Linked DNA regions of Mus musculus. The protein of the gene in region 2 purifies or fractionates together with the protein of the main gene of each other region. This does not show direct contact. Links are inferred from orthologs where the notes say so. Each region holds a gene or a part of one and is shown on either strand. Other genes may lie near its edges.

Region 1 (3,123 bases), about 26 Mb from region 2:
TCCATGCCATCTGAGTACAGGCCTAATTTACCCCGTGAATTCTATGCAAATGTTTCATGAAACTGCTGTTAATGGGAACAGTATGTACCTGATACCATGCTGATGCTATCGGGAGTGGGAGGAGCTGAGGGAAAGAAGGGAACAGCTATTTCCTCTCCCTCTGTGCCCTGTAGATCTGCTGGGACATGGTCAGGGCTGAGATAGCACTGAGGCCCCACACCAGCTGAATGTGGCCTCCCAGTTTTGAGCGGGGCTCCCAAGGAGCTGGAGCACCGCGTGATGCTTTCCGTCTGGCGGCGGCTCTCCTGGGGGCTGGCCTAGTCCTTGGGGATCTCAAACATGCAGAGGCTCTTGTACTTCTGCAGCAGCTCGTTCTTGGTCCTCACTTGCTCTCGGAGGCTGTGGAGCTGCTGCTGCTGCTGCTCGGGGCTCACGTGGATGCCGGGCATGGTGCCGATGAGCTTCCGCAGCTCCTGGAACTTGGTTTTGAGGGCGTTCAGGTCCTGGTGGAGATCCGGGCTGTCCTTGTCCATGCTGGGCGACAGGGGGAGGAGAAGGCAGTCAGTTATTAGCATGTGTAGCTCATCTCCACAATGGCTTCCTTGTTCTACACCTCTGATACCTTTTAGAATGATGTTAGACATGTCTGTTCCCTAACTAGGTTGCCTACCTCAGAAGACAAGGATTGGTCTTTTATTTGTTTTATTTTGTTCTTTAGCTTTAAGCTCATAAAAGCATACTTGACAAGTCAAATACTTTAACTCTGTGATGGCAGGGACCAAGTAGGCTTCATCACAACTGTCTCACCAACCTGGCCCTACACATAGGACACTATGCTCAAGAACATGCCTATAAACCCAGCTCAGGCTTGTGTGGGATGGGGGATGTAGAAACAGGCAGACTTCAGAAGCTGAAACAGCAAGGCTCAGGTTCTGTGCAAGACAACACTGGGAAGAGTAATGAAGCTGGGCACAAGTGCCCGCCTCTGCTTCCCCTGCCACTCAACCGTGTGCACACACCACACACACAAACCCAGGAACTTTCCAAAACACCACCTGCCAAAAGGATGAGTGCTTGGAAAGCAGGTGCAGCTGTGCTAAACGCATCTCCATCACCAACCATCAGGTGACCCTTCCAAAAACAAAGAAAACCAGGCGTGGTCAAACACTCATTTCACCTGACCAGGGCCGTCTGCAGGCCAACCAGGAGGCTTTGCCAGTTAGCAGGGCCTTCATTTCACTGAGCTGTGGTGCTTGCTTAGGCCTGTTAACATAAAGATGAACTCCTATAGAGCTAGTTATACATTGTGAACCAGCTCCAGGCGACTGGAACACTCTCAGCAGACACAGGCTCTCCTCTAGCACAGCTCTGTAGATGCCTTCCTCTGGGTCAAGGTCATTTTGAAGGCAGACCATTCCTATCCGTTCACAGCCCTGGCATGGCAGAGATCCCCATTCCTGCTATCAAACTGAAGCGAAAGAACCAAATCCTAGGAACAAAGGCACAGCCCCAAGGCCAGAAGGCAGAGGAGCTTTGGAACCAGTTCTGCTCAGTGTGCAGACACCGAGGGCCACCACTAATCTGCTGTCAGAATTTAAAGTACACTTTAACAAAACTGGTTTACACCACAAGGCTAGAAAGATACAAGAAAAACAAACAACCCACAAAATTAAAACAGGAAAGGAGGTTTATAGTATTAATTCCTGTAGTAAAAATAACTCAGCCCCAAAGAAATTCTAATTCAGAAAGCAAAGTGTGGGCCATGTTTCAGACGCTCACTTCTCAAACTCTCCAAACTCCAGATACCCATTCCTTACAGGGTGAACTTTGGGGGAAGGGGGTAGCCTTCAGACAAGAAACAGAACCCAAGGGGAAAGCCACCGGAGGGGAGCTGGGCTGCAGACCTCTGCAGTAGGCCATTCACCTGCCCTAGTTGGTAGTGGTAAATAGCACAGACGTCCTGGGGTGAGGAAAGCATCTATTCAGGAACTGCTCAAACTAAGAGGGAACCTGTTATGCCAGGATGACTATGAAACAGTGAACTCCCCAAGTCTAAAGAACAGGGTCAGACTTGATAGTGAGGGAATAAAAGCAGAAAGCTCTAAATGGGCCTGCCTTTGTGCTCAGCATTAGTCACCATCCAACTTTAGAAGGGAAATCGAGAGACTAGGTCAGGATCGATGGGAGTCATACAAACAAGGACAAAGTTAGAGCATCGTGGTCCCATCTGCTGTGCTTTCTTAAAGAGTGGGCAGAAGTACTATAGTCTTGGGGCAGGAAGAGCAGAACACCTCCCCACAGCTAGCATAGGCATTTGGACATGTGTCCCAGGCTCTTGGATAAAAGCCTAGGAAAGATGAGAGCATCTAAGAACATGCCCTGTTTTTTCCCAATTTCTTTTTTGCATAGAAGCAAACTGACAACAATGGGCAGTGTGTCCTCCAGCAATGCAAAAGCAAGGGAAGACATGGGCCAGCAGGCCAGTCCCGCCCCTCACCTCTGATAACCTGATCTGGGGGCCATCAAAGGTCCACTCTCCACAGAAGCAAGCACCTATCTGTCCCTGCTGACCACCCTGGGCTAGCACCCTCAGTCCTCGCCCCCACTACTGAGTCCATTGTCTTTCACTTTCCCCAGATTAATTTTTCTCTTATTTAGTAGATGTTGGAAGGAAGAAATCCAAAGTGATAGAAAAGGGAAGTCCTTTTAGTTCCAAGTCTCAGAGACACCTGTGTTAGCATAAGATGTAAACTGTAGTAGAGCATTTCAAAACGTGCAATTTCAGACAACCATATGTATACTTTTGTTATTCTGACAGTATATCAAATGTGGCTCTCATTCTTGTCTTTCCACATTACTATGCATTTGATTACATTGTGAAGTTATTTACAAACAATTATCTGGAGTGTTTGCAATTCATCAAAATGACAGTGGGCACTGTACACACGCACCTTTACATAACTGTGCAAGGGCTCTGGAAAGATGTCATTCCAGGAGAAATCGGGATTAAAGAGTTTATTTACATTTTTGATAGAAACTGCCAGAATGCCCTCTGAGCTAGGCACACGGACACCTATAATCCCAATTTCTTGGAGTCTGGGGCAGGAGAACCAAGTGTGAGGT
Region 2 (3,827 bases):
CAAACCAAGTTTTAGCATCTCTCACCACCAACATTTTTTGGTGGATTGGATTGTTTGTTTTTTGAGATAGGTAAAGCCTTATATAACCTAAGTAGGCTTCTTGTTTTTATGTAGACAAAGCTGAGTTTGAACTCCCAACACTTTGGCCTCCTATCCCAAGACCGGGGTTTAAAGGCATGTGCAACCATATCCAGCTCTTACCAATGTTTTTAGAAGGAACGTTTGTTCCACGTCTTATGTTGAACACTTTGTAAGTAAAGCACACACATGACAAATTTTTTACCTCCAAAAAGCCACAGCTGCTGTCTGGGTGTTAGTAGAGACAAGATCTGTCTATATGGACCATATTCAAAGTTCTTTTCCTAGTGAAGCGTGCCCTAGTACACACTACACTGGAGGGTAAAGAGTGAATGTTCACATAGAGCTATATCTGACTTACCAATATCTGTAATAGATTTCATATGTTCAAACATGTGCAATAGATATCCTCACAGGATATATTATATAAGACAACAAACACCAAATATGCCAGTCAGGTCCTAAACTACTTTTAAGTAGATGGGAAAGGACTCCCTTTCATGACACTGTAGCACCCAATTAACTGCTAGACGACTGACATTCTAGGAAATCATTTAAAGTGTTTACTTTTTAAAAAAAAGATTTATTTATTTATTTATTATACGTATACAGTATTATACACTGTAGCTGTCTTTAGACACACCAGAAGAGGGCATCAGATCTCATTAAGGATGGTTGTGAGCCACTATGTGGTTGCTGGGATTTGAATTCAGGACCCTCAGAAGAGCAGTCAGTGCTCTTACCCACTGAGCCATCTTGCCAGCCCTAAAGTGTTTACTTTTATCTTCAACTTTCTCTGAAAACAGGTGTGAACGATGAAGTAGTATTTTCTGGTTTCTCCTTTACCATTTTCAAGACTATGTCTCGTAGTAACAGAAGTAAGGTCAAATAATTTGAGAAAAACTAGCATTTTTGGTTTTTTGGTTTTTTGAGACAGGGTTTCTCTGTGTAGCCCTGGCTGTCCTGGAACTCACTTTGTAGACCAGGCTGGCTTCAAACTCAGAAATCCACCTGCCTCTGCCTCCCGAGTGCTGGGATTAAAGGTGTGCACCACCACGCCCGGCTAAGAACTAGCATTTTTATGAAATTGGTAAGGTATAAAGTCCTAATGTTAATTACTTAAACATTCTCTAATTCAATTCCAGAGTCACCTCTCAAACTACAGGATCAAAGAACAGAAAAATCATTCTAAAGACTGAAGAAAAAAAAATTACATGGTAGAACTATGAAACTTGATCATCTATCTTTCAAACATACCCACATCAAGATTTACAGGAAACCATGTCAAGGTGACTTTAACATGAGAGTAAAAATCAATCAAATGTGTTTTATTATAAAATATTTCCTACTGTTCAGAGCTAAAACATAGTAATAAAGTCATAAATCACTTCCAAAACTCAAACTGTTATGAAATCAATGAAATTTAACTTAATCCTAATCATTAGTAGGATACTTACTGTTAATTCATCTTCATCAGAATTGAAGAGGTTATCAAGGTCAGTGTAAGACACAGCCAAATCTGAGTCATAAATCAAACTGGTTGATGGAGGACGGGCATGATTTGTAGGGCGTGGAGCATCTACATGTGACAATCAGAAAAAAATAAACTGAAAACTCAACTATTAGCCAAGTAGTATTCTGTTTAACTAAACAAGAGAGAAAACCTAATGTTCACAACAACTATGCAACACGATTATTCTAGTCACTAATTTAAAATCTGAAATTCTTTTCTCATAAATAAAGCTTCCCGAGGAAGCTCCAAAAGTTACATAATCTACACCATAGTTAAGCTCTGTAGAAAAGGTCATAAAAATACAAATGCCATTAGAATGATACTTAAAAACACATACTTTTCCTTTTTTGTGTGTGTTATGTGATGTGATTGAATATATGCAGATTCACAGGTACCTGCGCACATTATATGCATAATGTGGAAGCCAGAGGTTGACATGGGGCATCTGCCTTAGTTGCTTCCTAACTTATACATTAAGTATGGTCTCTCCTTTGAACCTAGAGCGCACTGATTCAATGAGTCCAGCTATCCAGCTTTCTCTGGGAACTCCCTAGCTCCTCTTCTCCGATGCTAGAATTTCAGGCAGGCTCCATCACACTTGCCTGACATTTATGTGGCTACTGAAGATCCCAACTTGCACTGTCATGCTTGTCCGGCAAACAATTTAAAAGCTAAGCCATCTATCCAGGCCTTTTTCATTTTGAAACAGATGGGATTTATTTAAGCAAATAAGGCTGCATGTAAATATCGTAATAAAGATGATAGAATCACAGAATATCAAGCTAATTATGTATGATGAATACATGTTAAGTATCTGTTAAAAAAAAGAAATATTTATAGATAATAATGGAGTATCACTACTTGTCTAAAGGCTTGGTATGTTTTTTTCCGTTATTGTGTGTGTGTGTGTGTGTGTGTGTGTATGTGTGTGTGTGTGTGTGTGTGTGTGTGTGTGTATAACTCTTAGTGGTTGAGAAGAATAGAGGAGAGAAAATAGAGGATACAAAATAGATACCAAAATAGAATTGGATAGAAGGAATAGGTTCTATTGCTTATAGCATAGAGGAGTGATTGTACTTCAGAATTTTGACCTATAATGATATAATAATTAAAAAAAAAAAAAACTAGGTAAGAGGGGCTTTAAGGCTCCTAATAAACTAAGTACAAAATACCCCGATTTGGCTAATTTATATGGGATACATGTAGTAAAACATACTATACTATCATTACATGTTTACTTTACGTCTAGCCCCTCCCCTGTTTTACTGGCCTATGCCTTTGACCTTTTTCCTTAATGCCAGTGCTATACTACTATTAGCTGTAGAGTATATTTTGAAGTCAAACAATATAATAAACCAATGGGGGAGGGGACAAGGATTCTTTGTGTGGCCCCAGCTGTCCTGAGACTCACTCTGTAGACCAGGCTGACTTTGAACTCAAGAGCCTGCCTCTGCTTCCCAGATGCTGCGAAAGATTAAAGGTGTGTGCCATCACATGGCTGAAAATCAACTTTTTATTGAGGAGAGGGGTAGTAAGACACTTACTGTGTGCACCAACTAATCTCAGACTCATGAACTCCTCTGTCAACTCCTGAGTGCTGTGACTACAGCCATATACCAAAATCCTGGCTCAGCACCTTGGTGAGTTTACTCAGTACCAAATTCTTTTGAGCCTCAATACAAAGTCCAGGATTTTTTTTTTTTTTACTTCATCTCTGTGCAACATGCCACTAGAAATTTGATAAAGACCCCTTCATCAAAGAATCTAAGATGTCACCCACCAATACTTAGAGCCACTAAGCTGCCTTATGAAAGACTACCTGCTCCTTCTTTACATAATTTTTTCCTTATTTTCATTTCTTTATTCTCAAAATATTAAAACAAAATATTGCCTTCAAAAACACATACCAAAAGATAAACTGTGCCTATTCAAAAGCTTAATGTAAATGATACATACTAACGTTTATAGTATGCTTAATGTCTGGTAATAACAAAAAAAACCAATCTTCGTGTTTTTATTCCAAAAAAAGTACTTATATGAAATGATACGTATTAAATAGCTTGATTAGCACACTAAAATATCCACAGAAAGCAACAAACTATGCATCATAAATATATATACATATGCTATATCATGTTTATCTATCTATCAATTTTTAAAATTAGATACCTTCTTCACACAGATACTTTCAAAGGACTCTTGACTACTATAGCTCTACAGTCTGAACATATAAATA

Evidence for each region.
Region 1: the proteins of Med13 (region 2) and Med9 purify together in Homo sapiens (affinity purification with mass spectrometry; 6 studies listed by BioGRID and IntAct, with this or other methods). This does not show direct contact. The link is inferred for Mus musculus from reciprocal best matches to the Homo sapiens genes MED13 and MED9.

What each region holds. Positions count from the first base shown.
Region 1 is NC_000077.6:59,957,970-59,961,092, reverse strand, and holds part of Med9 (mediator of RNA polymerase II transcription subunit 9), read right to left. Parts: intron 535-3,123; coding exon 318-534; 3' UTR 1-317.
Region 2 is NC_000077.6:86,301,999-86,305,825, forward strand, and holds part of Med13 (mediator of RNA polymerase II transcription subunit 13), read right to left. Parts: intron 2,446-3,827; exon of another isoform or gene 1,658-2,445; coding exon 1,536-1,657; exon of another isoform or gene 1,224-1,535; intron 1-1,223. UniProt on the Homo sapiens protein: Component of the Mediator complex, a coactivator involved in the regulated transcription of nearly all RNA polymerase II-dependent genes.